3 linked regions of the Caenorhabditis elegans genome follow. The protein of the gene in region 1 purifies or fractionates together with the protein of each later gene. This does not show direct contact. Each region holds a gene or a part of one and is shown in the gene's direction. Other genes may lie near its edges.

Region 1 (7,761 bases):
TTTTGAATGAGCCAGTAATCAATGAAATTTATCGGCTACGCGAAAAACACGGCTACTCGAACAAGGTAATTTATTTTTTTAGAAATGCCGTTAAATAATTCCAATAACTGAGTTTATTTTCCAGATGTAATCTTCGTGCAATACTTGTAACATATCACAAATGCATTCATCATCGTGATGAGTTCAACAGTTTTATTCAAAAATTTTGAAAATGCTCAAGTGACGAACTTTTTTTCTTTTTTTTTTTGTTAAGATTATTTCATTTCCCTTTAAAATTTTCTCTATAGAGCTATAGTATCGTTGTTCGTGTTTTCTAATAAACGCTTTAAAGTTTTGTTCTATAGGTTTTTATTGTTATCCAATATTGGTTTTAACCAGAAATATGCACTACATGTTATGACACTTTTCATATTAGTATTACTTTTTATTGTTTAACACGTTAACTTTACCGAGGTTTTGCAGCCCTACCCGTGTCCTATTTTATGCTGATATTCATCTTCCAGATGGGCAACAAAAAAAATAAATCAAGTGGGTCCCGAAAGAATCATTCTCAGCATTATTCTCAGCCAACAATGACCGTAGAGGAGTGCTTGAAGGAGTACGAGAACACAGGAAATTTCGCCAAGTTCTACCCGAATTACATTTTCCAACGGTTGCCAAAAGAGTTCCTCCAAAAATACTTAGCCTCTAAAAGTTCGTTTTACAAGAAAAGTTGACAAGTTTAACAACCTTCGCAATTTCAGAAAATAAAAATATTTCTAAAAATCCATCACTAAGTTGTTCAAACTCTACATTGGACAATATGAAAGAGACGTCGAAAAGTATCTATGTGGACGTGGATCCAGATGATCCTCTCTCCGATGAAGCATTCACTGCTCAACATCCTGTGGAAGAATGGTTTCGACTTCCTCTCGAATGGCGCATTGAGATCGAAAGGCAGCGTTTTGTGAAAAAAGGTATTTTATTCATGGCTAGAAAATTAATCCTACAAAAAACCGCTTAAAACTCGATTTTTGAGTAAAGAAAGAATTTAACAATTTTTCATATGGATAATTTATTAAATATCGAAAAAAAGCATTTCTCTTATTTTCTTTCAGAACGCGCCGACCGTGCTGCTGAAGCTGCCAGGAACTCCGCTGAACTTCTAAAGCCAGACGCTTAAAAGTGCATCAACGATTCGTTTTAACGTTGTAAAATGTTATTTTCGATGTTTTCTTTTCATCCAGTTATTCGTATTAATTTGCCATTCATCAGCTGAAATTCATCCCAACAACCTGCCGAAAGAATTTTATTTTCTGTTCTATCTTTCAAATTTCCTTTTCTTTTCTTCATTTTCTGTTGGCAGCTGCTCGTATTTCCATCACCGGTTCCCGTGAATTTGCAGTTTTAATGAAAGTTTTATTCTTGTTTTAAATATTATGATTTTATTTTCTCACAAGGTTGAAGAGCCAAAACATTTATTTATGTTGTAGAATTTAAATACTAATTTTATTGATTCCGCCGTTGCTCATCGTTAAATATTGAATACTGAAACCAAAACTTCCCTTCCTGACACTACTTGCCCTTCTTTAACACTAATAATGGTTTTCTGTTCATTCATGTATTTCCCTCTTAACTTTTTATCATTGGCAAGAGGAAGAGAAAATCATTAATGTGAAAACCTCTGCCACACTTGTTTATATTTTGTGCGCCAGTTTGAACAACATGTCTTTTTGTCGTTTTGTCGGCAAAATTTAATTTAATAATTTCCTACAGATATTTTCGATAATGCAACCAACTGCAATACGTTTAGAAGATTACGACAAATCGAAGCTTCGCCTTCCGTTTGAGTCTCCATATTTTCCAGCGTATTTTCGTCTTCTCAAGTAAGAAAATTATACATTTCCCCCCTTGCACTCGATCAAATAATTAAATATTATTTTAGATGGAAATTCCTTGATGTATGCGTGGAGAGTACACGAAACAACGATATCGGATATTTCAAACTATTTGAATCGCTGTTCCCGCCAGGAAAATTGGAAGAAATTGCCAGAATGATCATTGACGAGCCAACTCCAGTTTCTCATGACCCGGACATGATTAAAATCAGAAATGCCGAGTAAGACGACAGAGAAATCATGTATTAGAAAAACGTTCCAACGAAAACAATTTCTTCGGTGTTATCTATATCTGTGACGGCAAGGATGTCGAAACGGAGTTTTGAAAACATAAAATTGTTTTAATGACTTAAATTTTTATAAAAAGTTTAAATATCGTGAGTTTTCGAGTCACAGAAGCTTAAAAGGTCAAAAAAAAGTATTATGGTGTCTGGAATTTTCGTGCCATATTTTTTTTAAATACCAATTTTTCAGTCTCGACGTTAAAATCAGAAAACAGGCAGAAACATACGTTACATTGCGTCACGCACATCAGCAGAAAGTTCAAAGGGTAAAAACACTTTTGAAAAACATTTAATAAAATAATTTTTATTTCAGAGAAGATTCTCGGAATGTTTTTTGAACACTGTTTTGTTCGATGAGAAGGGACTCAGAATTGCTGACGAAGTGATGTTTAACTGTAAGTAATCGTGAAATTTCAAACGTTTTGAACTGTAAAATTCAGACGATAAAGAACTTTATGGATACTCACACTGGGAAGATCTTCCTGATGGCTGGTTAACTGCTGAGACTTTCAAAAATAAATTCTACGATGAAGAGGAAGTTACCAATAATCCATTTGGATATCAGAAGCTTGATAGAGTGGCTGGAGCTGCACGTGGAATGATTATTATGAAGCATCTGAAATCGAATCCACGTTGTGTTAGTGAAACTACAATTCTCGCTTTTGAAGTATTTAACAAAGGTAATCATCAACTATCAACTGATTTGGTCGAAGATTTGCTAACCGAAGGACCAGCGTTCGAGCTGAAAATCGAGAATGGAGAAGAGAAAAAATATGCTGTGAAGAAATGGAGTCTTCATAAGACTCTCACCATGTTTCTCGCAATCATCGGATTCAAATCGAATGACAAAAAAGAGAAAAATGAACACGAAGAGTGGTATTACGGATTTATTGATGCAATGAAGAATGATCCAGCTAATCGAGCGGCTCTCTACTTTTTGGATAAGAACTGGCCAGAAGAGCTTGGTAAGTTTTTTTTTGTTTGGAAATTAAATAGCGGCAAACATTTTGTACTTCAGATTTCAAAATACTGAAATTATTTTAATACAATTTTAAATAATGCCTAACTTTTTATTATTCGGCCATCTCATGCTATTTGATGTATTTTACGAATTTCGATTTACAATCTAGGCTTAACTAAATCAATTTTCAGAAGAACGAGAGAAAGAACGTGACCGTATCCGCCTTACCCTACTGAAAAGTCAGCGGACTAACGAGGAAGCTGTCGGCGAGGATGTTTGCACGACAATACGTCCACAACCGAAAGACAGCGGCTACAGTAAGATTATATTTCCAACATTTAGTGCAAATTTTCCTTTTTCCAGATCCAGATGCGGTGGTTACTGAACTTGTATTGCGTACTTATCAAGAAGAACTTGTCCAACCGGCTCTCGAAGGAAAGAATTGTGTTATTGTTGCTCCGACTGGTTCTGGTAAAACAGAAGTGGCAATTTATGCGGCTCTCAAACATATTGAAGAACGAACATCCCAAGGAAAGCCTTCCAGAGTATGTTTTTTTTTTAATTTTCTCGTCAAGTTCTAATATTATTTCCCCTTGATATAGAAGCAATAAAATTTTATTTTCCAGGTTGTGCTCCTTGTGCCGAAAATCCCGCTTGTCGGTCAACAAAAAGACAGATTCCTGAAGTATTGTAACGGAATGTACGAAGTTAATGGTTTTCATGGATCCGAGAGCAGTGTCAGTGGAACAGGACGTCGTGATGAAGTAATTGCTACTCATGTATCAGTTATGACTCCTCAAATTCTGATGTGAGTTAATGGAATCAGGTTCATTAAATTCTGAATCGAAAATTTCTGATATAACTCATTAATTTTTTATTTTACTTTTTTTTTTCAAAAAAAATTATAAATTATAAAAAGAGTGCAATTTTAATCAAGATATATAAAATGTTTAATTTTTTCGGATCGAGCTCTGGTTTTTATAATACCCGAACTAATTATTTCAGCAACATGCTTCAATCGGTACGTCAAAATGAGCGTTTGTATGTGAGTGATTTCTCAATGATGATCTTCGATGAAGTACATAAAGCTGCAAAAAATCATCCATATGTGTTGATTAATCAAATGGTTCAAGAATGGAAGTATGAAAAACCACAAATCATTGGTCTGACAGCTTCATTGAGTGTCAAAGTTGATGGACAAAAAGACGAGAATCAGATGCTTAATGATATTTATAATATGCTCGCATTGATCAACGCTCCACATTTGAGTACAATCACTCGCCAATCGAGCATAGATGAGCTCAATGAGCATGTTGGAAAACCAGATGATTGTAAGTTTGTTCTCAAGTTGGAAATTTAGTTTTTTTTTTCTTAAAAACCATAAATAAATTTTAAAATACAAATAAGATAAATTTCTAGGTGTATCAAATTATAAAAATATTTATTTTCAAGTTTACACAGTTCAAAAAAATTTGAAAATTGTAAATTGTTCTTGTAAAATGAAAAATGGTTTCTAAATGAAGTGTTGTAAACAGGAATTGAAAAAAAAAACCTTCGGAAGCTGAAAACCCACTTTAGAATCAAAACCACGGTATTGAAATTTCCTTTGTTTTCCCTTATTTCTCATGGTATTGTTTAACTTCAAGCTAATCCGGCAATTTCAAAGTAAATTCCTCATTTACTCTATTCCAAAAATAACCAATTACTTGTTTTCTCTTCGGAATATGAAATTTCATGAGAGAATTATTTCAAAAAAATTCTTCTCAGCTGTCGAACTATGCTTGCCTGCCAAAGAAAATATCCTTCGAGATTACATCGAACGATACCTTAACCACGCCCATGGCAAATTTCTCGAAGAATTAGCAAGCATGTCTAAATCAACTGGCCGCAACAACACTATCCCACCGAATATGATTAACACGTTTAAAAAGAATCAACCGAAGAATTATGAGTACTACGATTCATTACTTCAAGGTATTATTCAAGAGTTGAACAAATTGAATGTTCCTGAGAAATGGAATTCTCAAACTTGGGCGAAATACATGAAGGTTTGATTCATTTTCAAAGATTCTTGTAAATGAAATGATTTAGGTATATCTCGAAGCTCGCGGAATCGTTGATCTGATGCCTGCGATGGTTGCATTCAAATACATGGAAAAAGCTATTGGGAAATTGAATGAAAGTCATTCAGAGACAGTCGAATACAGCACCTTCATCAAAGACCATGATACTTTGAAACAAACAATTCAATCCGTTGAACCAGAAATTGTTCTACGTCTCAAGAATACACTCACCAATCAGTTCCACGTGGCTCCTGAATCTCGAGTTATTATTTTCGTAACACAAAGAAGCACCGCTCAACGTGTCAGTGATTTCTTGAACGAATCTAAAGTTTTAGATCAATTTGGTAATTATGGTGAACAAATGGTTGGATATGTTCTCGGAACAAACAAACAGGGCGCTGTACAGCAGACTTCACAAGAACAACAATTGACACTTGATAAATTCAACAATGGAAGACTTAAAGTAATTGTGGCAACGTCAGTTGTTGAAGAAGGTCTCGATGTTACTGCATGTAATCTTATTATCAAGTACAACTGTTCATCAGGATCAGCCATTCAACTTGTTCAACAAAGAGGTCGTGCACGTGCCAAAAACTCTCGTTCTGTGCTTTTATCAGTGAAGAGTAGTATCAATGAAACCGAGACTAACGCGTTAATCTCTGAAAAGTATATGAGACTTTGTGTGAAGAAGATCACAGAGAATGGCGAGAAACAATTGGCTGCAGAAGTGAAACGAGTCGCTGAACTAAATGCGGCTGAAAGGAAACGAAATCTGGAAGAGCAACTCAATTTGAGATTACGACATGAGAATAAGATTTATAAATTGATGTGCAGCAATTGTTCAAAAGAGTTCTGCAAGAGTATTTATATCAAAAAAGTGTTCTCGAATTACATGGTGTTCGATCCAAGTGTATGGAGATTTTTGCATGTTGAATCGGTACGTTTGATGAATGCTCAAAAACCGGAGCCGGCTTGTCGAAAATATAATTTTAATGAATTTTGTAAGATTATACTCGTAGACCAGGGCTGTAAAACCATTTTCCCAAAAAACCGAAACCTAAAATTTCTCAAAAAAAAAGACAATTAAAAAAATTTCTGTCACTAAAAAATCGTTTTAAAGTAAAAAAATCGCTTTATTCATCTGAAATTAACTTATTCAGGTTGAAACATTTATAAAGTGCTTAAAAATTACCTGGAAGTGTCGAATTGCCGATTATCAAATTGCTGAATTTCCGAACTTTGCTTTCCGACAATTGACTTTCAGGCTATTTTTGTGCAATTTCCAGATGTTTCAAGTAAATGTTTTTTTCAGCTAAGCCGACTTCTGTTTATCATAGAAACGCAATTTGTGATTGTGAAAAATTGAATTTTTTCAGAAGCGAAAGGTGAGTAAGTACTTGAGTGAGGACAATCAACCACTCAGTGATATCAAATGCTTCCATTGCAAGTTGGATGTTGGAAGAGCTTACAAAATAAGGTAATTGAAATTTAATTTATTTAAAAGTCGTTTCTTATAAAACAACATTTCTACAGAGGAACCTATTTGCCGCAACTCAGTGTCAAGGCGTTGACATTTGTTCAAGAATCAGACTATTCCTCGATGACAAAAGCAAAATGGTCGGATGTGGAACAGGATCTGTTTTATATTTCAGAAGCAATCGAGGATGACTTTGTAAGATTTTGGTCACTTGATTATTTAAAAATTGTACGAATTTACAGAGAATCATGTTGAATGCGCTCTCCGATACTGAAGAAAATATCGAAAAGAAGATTGTTCTTGATTTGGACTCACGACAACACAATAAGCAACTCGAGATGAAGAGATTGTAAGTGTGCTCTGGATTGTGATTCCTTTTCTGTTTAACACTTTCGAAGCTCAAAAAATACGGATAAACTCTCTATTATCATAATAATGCTTTCATTTTCAGCCATATTCAACAAGAACCACCAACGAAGGGAGTTGCACCAGAAGCTCAATGATCATCTCAAGGATTTCCAACTTGTACGAGAATTCAATTTTTCTTAATCTTTTTTGTTATTTTAATATCATTCATCGTGTTCTATTTACCGAGCAATTTTCATTCGATCTCTTGAATAATATAAAGCTCTATTTAGTTTTATTTTTTTAATTGATCTTTCAATTTTTCTTCCAACAATTTGACTGTAAATTAACAAATGACAAAAAATGGAATGATTTATTAATTTAAATCAATTTCTAGAACATCTATTCCTAATCATCTTGTCCTTTAAGATTGTAAACCGTAATTGCCTCTTCTAGCAGCTTAACACAAGCAGTATGATTAAAATGTTTAGCATCATCCAATGGAGTTCTATCATATCTATCACATGGATTCGGATCCTCTTGCCATTTACTCAATACGTATTCCAATGTGACAACGTCTCCTTCAGCAGCAGCCACGTGTAAAACTGTTCGATCATCATAATCTTTGCAATGAATATCATGTCCCATCAAAAGGAATCGTTTAATTGCAGCAATATCACCCAATTTTGTAGCATACATGAAACGATTCTGACCGTCATGATCATCTTTCAATTGACGACGAGGATCGATTTTC
Region 2 (7,832 bases), 180 kb from region 1:
CAAGTGAAACGAGCTCATAGAATCATCAAAATGTACACAGAAACTTATCCAGGATTGGATGCAGTCTTATTCATGTTAGACGAATGGGCACGGATTTCAAATCTATTTGAAAATCAATCACTTCGAGAATATCATTTATCACTGCTATTTATCCTGTTTGCTACAAGGCAATTTTCTTCCGTTGATGGAAATGCTGCCAAGTTCTTCAATAAGGTCGATGAGAAAAGTTACAAGCAGAGTAAAACAATTGGAGACTTTGAGCCCAGTTTATATATTGAGGAAAAAGGAAAAAGTCAGATGGTGAGAAGAATATTTGTGTTATTTTTTTTATAATAATGACTGTTTTCAGATGGTGAAGTTTCTCGAATTTTTGGCCTCGCGAAAGTTCCGAAAAATGGCGAATCTCTCATTCTGTGCTCTTGATTTCTCATCAATTTTCATGCGAGGAGAATGGCAAATTTTCCATTTGGCCGCACTCAAAACCTACTACAACGTGTTATTCAATTTACGATTCGAAGAACTTCCTGTGTCAACTGATCCAACAACTACAGTTCGTTCAATAATTCGAGAAAACGAACCGTTCGTGATTGAATTACCAGCCAATTGTGATCGTTCATTGGTTCATCGCAAGCTGGTAGAGCATACTGGTGTAAAAGAGATATTCATGCGAAACATGGAGAAATCAGTTCGCTCTTCGGATGATGTGCAAAAAATCAATAGTGAGTTAACAAAATCGAATGGTAAACAGATTTAATTTTCAAATTATTATAGTGCGTCTTCTGGTTTCTACACGTGGAACTCTCGAGTCAATGTACAAGTTGCGTCAACTGGTTGCTGTAAAAGTTCCCATCAAAACGTACGTAACGGGACAAGATGTGTCTACACAGATGGCTCGATTGTGCTATGAAAAGATTGTCAGAGGACACATCAACATCTAGAATGTTTCTCTTATTCGTTTTTAGCAGTGTTTTCAGAGATTTTAAATGTTTAATATGGTTTTCATTTTAAATTTTATTTTTCTGTTTTTTTTTTGCATGTTTTAATTGGCATGCTTATTTCTGTTTCTTTTTCTCATTATATTTTCCTGTTGTTTCTTTTGCTGATTGATTGAAATGGATAGGTTTCTCCTTCTTTTCATCGTTTTCAGCGTTTCGGTTATCTGTTTCAATGAATTGTCTGTTTTATTACGAATCCGATATTTGTATTTTATTTGTTATATGCGTTTTTTCGTACATGATTTTCCTATTGGATAGAATATAGCCAGATTTCTTGAAAAATTGAAATGCTGTCGATTTTGTTTGAATTTTGGACCAAACTATCGAACTTTTTTCCTTCTCGACTGAAATCAACATTTTTGAAATGCAGTTGTTTTTGATCAGAAAAATTTTAAAACATTTTAAATATACAACTTTTTAAAGGTGCTCAATTTTCCGAGATGAAATTAAATTTCTTTATTATTAGAAAATAGTTTTAAATGAGTTTCCGTAAATAAAATTACGGAATAATAATCACGATACTTGCTCACTGTTGCATTGTCACCACAGTGTCTTTTTCAGCTGTCTGCGTCTCCGACGGGCAGCGTCTTTTTCAGTGAACCGATTTTTGCATTTCAGCGGGTTGTTAACTTTCAAAAAATGTTTTTGTAAATTTCAAAGTGAAGGTTAATGAGAACCTAATTTATAGTTATTTTTAGTTGTATAACAGTAAAAATTTAAATATCCAATTGATCGATGGCAAATTTAAAAAATCTTTATTTTTGTTTGTCTTCCATAAAACCTTGTTTTTCGTGCGTTGGCCATTAAAATTTATCTGTATAAAATTTTTCAGACTCCTCGTCATGTCGGAACGAAGTCATGGATTCATTAAATTTGAATTTCCGGAATTCGATAACTCGCTTCAAGTCATCGAAGGAAGTATCGATACAATGTTACTGACATTTACTTCAGTGCGTCATGGTTTTGAGAATTTTAATTCATTTTTTGGACATTTTTCGATTAAAAAAATGACGCTTGTTTTAATAATTATTATGATATTTCTAGGTTCTTCGTAAATACGAAATCGAAATCAAATCCCGTCAAGAAACTCAAATTGTTGAAGAACAGGACTGCGATTGCTTCTTTGAAATAAACTTTGAAGTTGAGAGCGAACAGTTTGATCACACAATTATAGATGCTATGCACGATTATTTATCAGATTTGGTGAGTACTTGAATTCATATTGGACGATTTCGAATTAATTTTATTTTCAGAATGTGTACGTTCCGTATCAGCGGCCTAACATTGTCCTTCATGGTTCCGATTTTTGGTTGAGAACTCTCGATTGTCACACAGAGATTCCACTTGCTGCGATTTATTTTGGAAATATACAAGGAGGCACATATTTCAATCATTGGCAGGTTTCATTTTCACGCGAAAACATATCGTCAAGAGATATGTTGCATAAGATACACGCCGAATTTGAATTCGATAAAACTGATATGATAACAGTACAATTTCAATGTTTCGAGGAGAAGAAACAGAAGTTTGAGGATTCGAGGAAACAAAAAGTTCGAGTGAACTATCAATTAACAGTAAGTGTTTAGCTGTAGCTATCAAATCCAATACTGGGAGAATTTCTTAAAATTTAATTAAATTCAAAAATTCAGATTCGAAGGGATTCAATTCGTCGAATTATTGTCGATCCACGAGTTGAAGGATGCAACACATGTGTTCATTTTGAAGTTAATTGTCCCCCACTCATCAGGAAAGGATATATTGATAATGATAAGGTAATTTAATATTGATCACAGATTTTTATAACAATTCTAATTGTTTAGTCATCGTTTCATAAACCCTTCTATGAGCGTCAGAAACGGTTCGATTGTGATTGGAGAAATGGAAATGTTAATCATGGTAATCCACAAGATGCTGCCATCGCAGATAGTCCTTTCTTCACAATTGAGTTCCATAAAGAAATATCAGTGAGCTATTTTCTACTGTTTTATGATAGATTTTGATGATTAAGCATCGTTTTTTATTATTATTATTCTCTAATTCAGACAAAAGAAATGTATCGTGTGTTGTCTCGTCTGAGGTCTCGAACCAAAGTTCTGATTGAATTTGCGAATCTTCCGAGCATTGATGTTCCGATGGGCAGTCACTATCCATACAACCGGTGGAATTTGAAGAAATCGCCGACCGACTCAAATGCGCCCATTTTTAGAGAGTTTCTGAAAGAGGTGAGTTAGTCTTTAAAAAAACAAAGAATTGCCTCAATAATCTGAGTATCAATTTTTGCAGATATTCCCACCGAAATATGAAATAGTAGATGATAAATTGATTGATGTTAATGAGGAACGGAAGTTTTCTATCACATATTTGATTGAATGTCTGTTGTCACGGGGAGCTATTGTGAAAGATCAACTACTACTGAATGAGCAACATTGGAAAAATTTCCTGGAAATTATCATTTGGTACTACAGGAATGATAATCAACTGTGTGAAGCTGCCTTGGAAGATCTCGTTCATTTAATTGATGGTAGAAAGCGAATCGGATCAATTTTGAAGGTTGTGTTTTTTGCATATTTTTTGATAATTTTTTTAAAAATTTTTCAGTGCCTAGATAAAATTTGCCAAAAACGTGAGGTTATGAAACTGGTTAATGGTTTAACAGAAAAGGAGAGCATAGAAGGATATCAACGAGTTCGAAAAGTTATCTTCACACCTACGAGAGTCATCTACATTGCACCAGAGACGATCATGGGAAATCGAGTTCTACGGAAATTCGATAAAGATGGCACCCGGGTGCTTAGAGTAACATTTCGAGATGATAATAATAAGAAAATGAGATCAAATGTTACGGGTAAACTTCTCGACAGGACGGCGAACAAGTATTTGGAGCACGGAGTTCGAATTGCAAATCGTGAATATGGTTTCTTGGGATGCTCAAATTCACAAATGAGAGACAATGGAGCATATTTCATGATGAGATTCACAGACAAGCAGCTTGATCGCTTCTACAAATGTAATCCGACAGCATCGAATATAAACTTCAAGCCGAAAATCGACGAAGTTCGATTTCAATTAGGAAGATTCTCGGAAATTGAAAATGTTCCTAAGTTGATGGCGAGATTGGGTCAATGCTTCACTCAGAGCAGGGTATGTTTTTAATTTTTATTCAGTTTCATGGATTTTTTAGTGATAACTTTCCATCATAATACAAGTATGAATTTCAGCTAACCGGTGTCGGACTTGGACGAGATGATTACTGTAGCACGTACGATTTGACTGGTGGACGAGCGACAAACGGAAGCGAGTATACATTTTCTGACGGAGTTGGAATGATGAGCTATCAATTTGCACAGGAAGTATCCCAAGCGATGCAATTTGGAAAAGCTGTTCCTAGCTGCTTCCAGGTAAATTAATTTCGTGTGAACTTAGGTAACTATAGTTTTTGCAGATTCGATTCCGCGGAAATAAAGGAGTCATCGCTATTGAACCCTTTCTGGATGAAATTCGTAAATGGGCACTTGTGAACGGTGTTACTTCGATGAAAATGGCGAAATGTTTGTTCCGTCCAAGTCAAATTAAATTCCAAGCTAAGGCTATTTCGGGAGACCAAATCGAAATGGTAAAGTTCTCGTCAGCGGTATTGGTTGCTCTCAATAAACCATTCATCAATATTCTTGATCAAGTTTCCGAAATGCAATCGTTGGATTGTCATAAAAGAATTACGAGCAGAATTGAGGAATTGATGGATCGTCAGATCTTGTCATTTGCCAAACAGATGAATGAGGAGACCTTTTGTAGAAACAAATTAAAGGTTTGTCTGAAACATGAAATAATGAAACTTTTTATTTGGAACTCTTTCAGGAGTTTCCACGTCGTATTGATATTGATAACTTGAGAACAATGTGGGGATTTACATTGTCTAGTGAGCCATTCTTCCGTTCCCTAATCAAGGCATCCATCAAGTTCTCAATCAGTGAGTTTTCCGAATTGTTTTCAATTTCTCAATTTTATTATTTTCAGCGAAACAGCTTTGCAAAGAGCAAATTCAAATTCCCAGTGAACTTGGTCGATCTATGCTCGGAGTAGTTGATGAAACTGGACGTTTACAATACGGACAAATCTTCGTTCAATACACGAAAAATTACAAGAAAAAACTTCCACCGCGAGATTCCAACAATAAAGTTCATGGAAGTGAGATTGTCACAGGAACCGTTTTGCTCACTAAAAACCCTTGTATTGTCCCCGGAGATGTTCGGATTTTCGAGGCTGTCGATATTCCAGAACTTCATCACATGTGTGATGTAGTAGTATTCCCACAACATGGACCGAGGCCTCATCCTGATGAAATGGCTGGATCCGATTTGGATGGAGATGAATATTCTGTTATTTGGGATCAGGAATTACTTCTTGAAAGAAATGAAGAACCTTTCGATTTTGCTGTTGAAAAGATTAAAGTACCATATGATAGAGAGAAGCTTGTTAGTTTTTTTTTGTTCATTTTTTTTTTAAACTTTGGTGTAATATCAAATTTAGGACGTCTTGATGCGTGAGTTTTATGTCACATATCTGAAATTAGACTCCGTTGGACAAATCTCGAACAGTCATCTTCACAATTCTGACCAATATGGGCTGAATTCGAGAGTTTGTATGGATTTGGCAAAGAAGAATTGCCAAGCTGTTGATTTCACAAAGTCTGGACAACCACCAGATCCATTGGAAACGAAATGGAGGGCCGGTACGTATGCGTATTCATGAATATGGTGTAACTACCTATTTTCAGATCCCGTAACATTCGAAGTTATCCCTCCTGAAAATCCTGAGCGAATTCCTGACTTTCATATGGGAAATGAACGAAGTCCGATGTATGTCAGTCCAAGGCTTTGTGGAAAACTATTCCGAGAGTTTCAAGCAATTGACAATGTTATCAAGATCTCTGAAGAAAGGGATGAACAATATAATATTGAACTGGATGAGACTATCTTTGTTACTGGTTTTGAGAGATATATGGAAAGTGCTCAAAAACAATTATCCAGTTACAACGGACAACTCAGGGTTAGTTTGAAGGCTGAGTAAAGTTTAAATACCCAAATTTTACAGTCTATTATGGAAAACTACGGTATCCGGTCGGAAGGTGAAATCATGTCAGGATGCATTGTCGAAATGAGAAATCGAATTTCGGATAAAGACCAAGATGATATGTCATTCTACAACACTAATCAAATGATTGAAACAAAAATGACATCTTTAGTGTGCAAATTCAGAGAAACGTTCTTCGAGGTACAGTTTATTTCAATATTTATTTATTTTTTAATTTCTATGCCATTATCAGGAATTTGGTGGATTCACAGTAAAATGTACACTTTTACCAAATGCTTACGATAACGGCAACTGTCTCAATTACCGTTGCGAAGATCCAGATCAGGAGGTCAGAAAGAAAGCTGTTGCCTGGTATCGAGCTTGTTACGGTAATTCAATTTTTTTGTTTCAATTTTTTGAACTATTGTAATTTCTTTGTAGAGTGTGCTCAATCCACGAGAGAAGTTCGGAAGCTTTCATTTGCTTGGATTGCATATGACGTCATTGCCAAAGTCAAGGAGACTAATGTATTGAATAACGAAAGAATGCAGATTGGTGGAGCAAATCCCATGTACACTTTCCTAGAAGAGCATCGAAAACAATATTTGATTGATCACGATGCGGATTTCAAGAACTTCTGTGAACTCGATCATCTAATTACCGGTGAAAAATCAAAAGAAGCGATTTCCATTCTGAAAATATATCTGGAGATGATACCAGGGTTGGACTCTGTGTTCTTCATGTTAATGCGATGGGGAGAATCATTACGATTGTTTGATGGAAAACCAATCAAGATTTATCACTTTTTCCTCATGTTCATTCTTTTTGCAACACGACAATTGGCATCTGCTGATGGAAATGCAGAACCGTTTTTCAAAATAATTGAAAAAGAAGAATATGAGAAACAGAAAAGAGATTCATCGAGAGGCAATATCGATCCACTTACTGAAAAAAAAAGATCAGATATGGTAAGGAATAAGGGGGTCATCGAACATCGTCGATTTTTCGATTTCTTCGAAAAAGTATGAAAAAAGAAGAGAAACCTTTGAATTTTGTCTATAAACATCTATATTTTGATAACAAAAATAAAAAATTCATTGAAATATATAGAGAAATTATAGGAAATTGTAGAAAAGTTGAAATTTTACCGAATATAAAACAAAAAAAACTTGAATTTTCGATTCATCAAAGTTGACATAAGTCCATTCAGCTGTATGATTTGTAGTCCAACATTGGCGAGAAATTCAAAGCCGAATTGTGTATTTTTTTCAGATGGTCAAATTCTTCCAATTTATGGGATGTCGGAAGTTCAGAAAAATGTCGACTTTATCCTTTTGTCCTCTCAACTTCTCATCGATTTTTATGCGTGGAGAATGGCGAATATTCCATGAATCAGCTCTCAAAACCTACTACAATATTCTGTTTAATCTACGTTTTGAAGAGCTTCCAGTATCATCTGATCCAACAATTACAGCTGAGACGATGGATCGAGAGTGTGAACCATTTGTTATCGAGTTACCCGGTATGTAAAATCTTTTGGAAATAAAAAAAATTGAGTTTTTTTTCATTTAGAAAATATAAATGTGAATGATCTGATCAATAATATGAAGAAACACACAAATGTTTCAACTGTAAAGATGCGGCGACAGGAGAAAAATCCGATAAACGATAAGGCGAAACCAAAGACTACAGGTAATTAAAAACTCTTCATATTGGTAGCATAAAATAATTGTTTTCAGTTCGTTACATCGTCTCCGTCTCCGGAAC
Region 3 (4,732 bases), on another chromosome or scaffold:
TGAAAAAAAAATTAAATATAATTAAACAATCAGGAAATAGCTTACTTCAAATATTCTCTGATAACTCCACAAACTTTATGCATAACCACGCAACTATTGTCCATTTCACGAAGAGATTCTACGCACGCCGCATAAGCTTTCAAAATGTCTTTTGTATCAACCGCTGAAATTTTAAATATTTAAGTTTTAAATAATTCCCCTCACCAACTTACATGCAACAAGAAGTTTTGTGTTAACTTGATCTATCAAGTAATTTGTGAAATCGACTCTCCCATGATTATTAGTTCTCAAAAGGCAATATTTCATTGTGATGAGACTGCGAAATTTTACTGGAAAATCTACGGCGATCATTTCATATGCCTACAAAAAATATTTTTTAGGTTCCAAATTTTTTTAAAAACTCACGTTTTTGGAAAGCATTTGGAAGACATCTTTGTAAATAGTGTCACTAATTAAATGGAATGCGTCTTGCATTGTTACTTGATCTGACCAAATCCTCAGACTCTCCATAATTTCTTGAAACATTGAACATCTCAGCTCATTGTCAAAAGCCGCTTTCTCGTGCATCACCAATGTTGCAGCAAGCTCGCGAATATACACTGAAAGTGCTGCGTTCATGTGACGATTTGCATTGAGAATTCCAGTTTTTCTGAAAATGTTATATATAATTTAGGAAGTCAGGCTTTACCCACAATTCATTGACAAAAGGATTAAAATCTTGAACATATTGCCCGCATATTTCTTTTTTTTCTGGTGTCCACAGCTCTTGGTTTAAATCGATTCCATGATCGATTTTTCGATGAGGAAGGTACATGGCAACTGAAAAATGTTATTGGAAACTGGGGCTGAATGAAAAAAAAATACGTCTGTAATTAGTGAAGTGCGACATAAAATAAGGTCTGAGAACTTTGATAACAACTTTCTGCATGGCCAGTGGGAAGATGAGCTCTGCAGCATCGCGAATATCCGGTTGACCAACGCCTTTTTCCAATGCAAACTGAAATTATTTTCCATTAGCTTGTTACACCTCTATTTTCTGACCGTTTTCCATAAGGAGAAGATTTTTCAGAGCATTTAATTGAGAATAAGGCTAATTTGTTCTTGATTGGATTTAAAAATTTTAAAACTCACCATCAGGCATTCTTGCTGTACTCGTTGCAGAACTGTCGTCATATCATAAACTTTTTCAATATTTTTTGCGTATTTTGCGTGATATATCAGAGCATCCCAGACTTCTTTTTTCTTTGAGACGCAAAATTGTCTGAAAACTGTCTTTACGGAACTCATTTTCAAAAATTCCATACCTGTACTTCATCGCAGCCTCTTTCGAAGTAGTCATTCTGTCAAAAATGGACATTTTCGAAATGGTTAAAATAATTTCAGCAAGGATACGAGAAGAGAACGATGACAAATGTGTGAGAAACTGTATATATTAAAGGATCATGCTTAAAACGAAGGTTGGGGTCTCGGAAACTACATTTCCACAAAAACCGCGAATAAATGTTCCTTTAAAAATTATACGAAAAAATGTTTGTTTCTTTTTTTTCACACGATTTTTCAGAGTATTTTCTTTCAAATTTCTGTCGATTCCACTTTTCCTCCGTCTTTTGAATGTTCCCATGAAAGAGACATAGACATTGGTTCAGTAGAGCGCATACTACGGGGCAGTCAGCGGCAATTATTTTTTATTGTAATTTTTGAACATTATCAATTTTCCCTGTTTTCAGACCAATAATGGTCAGGGTAAGAGCTGATTTACAATGTTTTAACCCCAGGGACTACCAGGTAATTTTTAAGTAGCAAAATAAATTAAAAATAATCGATTTTCAGGTGGAACTTTTGGATAAAGCGACAAAAAAGAACACAATCGTCCAACTAGGCACTGGTTCAGGAAAAACTTTCATTGCAGTTCTACTGCTGAAAGAATATGGAGTTCAATTGTTTGCACCATTGGATCAGGGTGGAAAACGAGCGTTTTTTGTTGTAGAGAAAGGTAATTTCGTCTATTAAAAATAAGCCAGCTGGCCAGTAAAGTGAATAATTGACAAAAAAAAACAAGATTTATTCTAAAACATCATTTTTTCCAGTAAACCTCGTTGAACAACAAGCTATCCACATCGAAGTTCACACAAGTTTCAAAGTTGGTCAGGTCCACGGACAGACAAGTAGTGGTTTATGGGACAGCAAAGAACAATGTGATCAGTTCATGAAGAGGCACCATGTGAGTGAGAATACGAAGCTGAACTATCGAGCATATATATTTCAGGTTGTTGTGATCACAGCTCAATGCCTTCTTGATTTGATTCGACATGCGTACTTGAAAATTGAAGACATGTGTGTTCTGATCTTTGACGAATGTCATCATGCTCTCGGTTCTCAACATCCATACAGAAGCATCATGGTCGATTATAAGTTATTGAAAAAGGGTAAGTATTGAGGAATTAATGGTGAAACTTCGAATTCGCTTCAAAATACGGAAATATTTTTTCAGACAAACCCGTCCCACGTGTATTAGGACTCACAGCCAGTCTTATCAAAGCGAAAGTTGCGCCGGAAAAACTAATGGAACAGTTAAAAAAGTTGGAATCTGCGATGGACAGTGTTATAGAGACAGCTAGTGATTTAGTCTCGGTATGATTTAAAAAAGACAAACAAAGACTTGTTTCCAATAAAACTAATTTAGCTCTCGAAATACGGTGCGAAACCCTATGAAGTTGTGATCATCTGCAAAGACTTTGAAATTGGGTGCCTGGGTATTCCGAATTTCGACACAGTTATAGAAATATTTGATGAAACTGTAGCCTTTGTGAACACCACAACAGAATTTCATCCAGATCTAGATTTGGATCCTCGTAGACCGATTAAAGATTCTCTCAAGACGACGCGAGCTGTTTTTCGTCAACTGGGACCTTGGGCGGCATGGCGAACGGCTCAAGTTTGGGAGAAAGAGTTGGGAAAAATTATAAAATCTCAAGTGCTACCGGATAAGACGTTGCGGTTTTTGAATATGGCAAAAACATCTATGATTACGATTAAAAGATTGTTGGAACCGGAGGTGCGTACCTAACAAGAGACGTTGGAAAATGGTACCTCGAAGTATCGTTATGGTATAGCAATTTTTCGACAAAAAAGTGTTATCATTCGAAAAAGTTCGTAACTCCCTACTCACCAAGAGAGCTACAAATCTTGAGCAAGATTTCAAATTGTAAGATTGTAGCTCAATTCATGGCTTTTTGAGAATTATGGGCTGAAGCTTGAATGCTATATGTTTTTTAAAAACAATTTACGAATATTTGGAAACACTTTTTTTAAGTTGAAAGTTTTTTCAAAAGGGGTGAAACTGCTCGGACGCAGCTGAATTTTTGGAATGATCCTCAATAACACTTTTAATCTAAAATTACTATTCTATATTGAACTCCAAGTTAGCATTTTCCAACTTCCAGTGTAAGCAATCAACTATTAATTACACCAATTTTTTCCAATTTAGATGAAGAAAATCAAAAGTATTGAAGCTCTCCGTCCATATGTTCCTCAACGTGTCATACGTCTTTTCGAAATCCTAGAAACTTTCAACCCCGAATTTCAAAAAGAACGAATGAAGTTAGAAAAAGCAGAACATTTATCAGCCATTATTTTTGTCGATCAACGGTACATTGCATATTCGTTACTTGTAGGTTTATATGAATGTTACGGTAATATATTGTAAATTTTCAGCTTATGATGCGTCATATTAAATCATGGGAGCCTAAGTTCAAGTTTGTGAACCCGGATTACGTCGTTGGAGCCAGCGGACGAAATTTGGCGAGTTCGGATAGTCAAGGATTACATAAACGACAAACTGAAGTAAATTTATGTTTAAATTATCATTGTCTAAATATAATTTTTAGGTTCTTCGCCGTTTCCATCGAAATGAAATCAATTGTCTTATCGCTACATCAGTGCTTGAAGAAGGTGTAGATGTTAAACAATGTAATCTTGTGATTAAATTTGATCGACCACTTGACATGAGATCATACGTTCAGTCAAAGGGAAGAGCTCGGCGAGCTGGATCAAGATATGTTATCACTGTTGAGGAGAAAGATACTGCGGCGTGTGATAGTGATTTGAAAGATTTCCAGCAAATAGAAAAAGTAATATTGGAATCTTCAGTTCAATTGTTTAAAAAATGATATTAAGATTCTTCTTAGCCGCCATCGTACAGTCAACAATCCTATTGAAGATGATTCGGATAGATTTGAAGAATTTGATGTTGATTCTCAAATGGAACCATATGTTGTTGAAAAAACTGGTGCAACATTGAAAATGTCAACTGCTATCGCATTAATTAATAGGTATATTAATAATTTCACTTTAGAAGTTTAATCCAACAGCTAAATACAAACAATTGGTAATCTTCCAGATATTGTTCGAAGCTTCCTTCCGATATCTTCACTCGTCTTGTTCCACACAATCAAATCATTCCAATTGAAGAGAATGGAGTGACCAAATACTGTGCAGAGCTTCTTCTTCCAATTAACTCACCGATCAAACATGCAATTGTGCTCAAAAATCCAATGCCAAATAAGAAGACTGCACAGATGGCAGTTGCACTTGAAGCATGTCGACAATTACATTTAGAAGGAGAACTCGATGATAATTTACTTCCAAAAGGAAGAGAGTCGATTGCCAAATTATTAGAACATATTGATGAGGAGCCGGATGAGTATGCACCTGGAATTGCTGCTAAAGTTGG

Evidence for each region.
Region 2: the proteins of drh-3 (region 1) and rrf-1 purify together in Caenorhabditis elegans (affinity purification with western blotting; 2 studies listed by BioGRID). This does not show direct contact.
Region 3: the proteins of drh-3 (region 1) and dcr-1 purify together in Caenorhabditis elegans (affinity purification with mass spectrometry; 3 studies listed by BioGRID, with this or other methods). This does not show direct contact.

The regions. Positions count from the first base shown.
Region 1 is NC_003279.8:7,819,076-7,826,836, forward strand, and holds drh-3 (Helicase ATP-binding domain-containing protein), read left to right. Parts: upstream 1-1,755; 5' UTR 1,756-1,767; coding exon 1,768-1,865; intron 1,866-1,924; coding exon 1,925-2,098; intron 2,099-2,351; coding exon 2,352-2,427; intron 2,428-2,474; coding exon 2,475-2,556; intron 2,557-2,601; coding exon 2,602-3,126; intron 3,127-3,313; coding exon 3,314-3,439; intron 3,440-3,485; coding exon 3,486-3,667; intron 3,668-3,748; coding exon 3,749-3,930; intron 3,931-4,127; coding exon 4,128-4,453; intron 4,454-4,889; coding exon 4,890-5,170; intron 5,171-5,213; coding exon 5,214-6,122; intron 6,123-6,561; coding exon 6,562-6,662; intron 6,663-6,718; coding exon 6,719-6,857; intron 6,858-6,904; coding exon 6,905-7,011; intron 7,012-7,113; coding exon 7,114-7,165; 3' UTR 7,166-7,303; downstream 7,304-7,761. Other genes in the region: D2005.4 (TPR_REGION domain-containing protein), read left to right, coding at 1-65, 125-130; D2005.7 (NAM-associated domain-containing protein), read left to right, coding at 504-693, 744-956, 1,098-1,162; glna-3 (Putative glutaminase 3), read right to left, coding at 7,416-7,761.
Region 2 is NC_003279.8:7,643,773-7,651,604, reverse strand, and holds the start of rrf-1 (RNA-directed RNA polymerase), read left to right. Parts: upstream 1-1,827; 5' UTR 1,828-1,837; coding exon 1,838-1,945; intron 1,946-2,039; coding exon 2,040-2,198; intron 2,199-2,248; coding exon 2,249-2,569; intron 2,570-2,644; coding exon 2,645-2,767; intron 2,768-2,815; coding exon 2,816-2,959; intron 2,960-3,037; coding exon 3,038-3,217; intron 3,218-3,278; coding exon 3,279-3,545; intron 3,546-3,593; coding exon 3,594-4,136; intron 4,137-4,213; coding exon 4,214-4,393; intron 4,394-4,437; coding exon 4,438-4,800; intron 4,801-4,850; coding exon 4,851-4,962; intron 4,963-5,009; coding exon 5,010-5,467; intron 5,468-5,522; coding exon 5,523-5,724; intron 5,725-5,769; coding exon 5,770-6,041; intron 6,042-6,086; coding exon 6,087-6,266; intron 6,267-6,318; coding exon 6,319-6,454; intron 6,455-6,506; coding exon 6,507-7,033; intron 7,034-7,337; coding exon 7,338-7,587; intron 7,588-7,637; coding exon 7,638-7,757; intron 7,758-7,804; and 1 more. Other genes in the region: ego-1 (RNA-directed RNA polymerase), read left to right, coding at 1-300, 350-719, 772-938.
Region 3 is NC_003281.10:8,077,277-8,082,008, reverse strand, and holds the start of dcr-1 (Death-promoting deoxyribonuclease), read left to right. Parts: upstream 1-1,727; 5' UTR 1,728-1,734; coding exon 1,735-1,785; intron 1,786-1,830; coding exon 1,831-1,993; intron 1,994-2,087; coding exon 2,088-2,221; intron 2,222-2,266; coding exon 2,267-2,426; intron 2,427-2,491; coding exon 2,492-2,631; intron 2,632-2,683; coding exon 2,684-3,055; intron 3,056-3,487; coding exon 3,488-3,670; intron 3,671-3,714; coding exon 3,715-3,843; intron 3,844-3,887; coding exon 3,888-4,130; intron 4,131-4,176; coding exon 4,177-4,331; intron 4,332-4,399; coding exon 4,400-4,732. Other genes in the region: apc-2 (Anaphase-promoting complex subunit 2), read right to left, coding at 46-163, 213-360, 406-649, 693-819, 865-997, 1,132-1,261, 1,305-1,357. UniProt on the Caenorhabditis elegans protein: Component of the ERI/DICER complex which is involved in processing amplified double-stranded RNA (dsRNA) intermediates during small-RNA-mediated gene-silencing or RNA interference (RNAi). Involved in cleaving dsRNA in the RNAi pathway.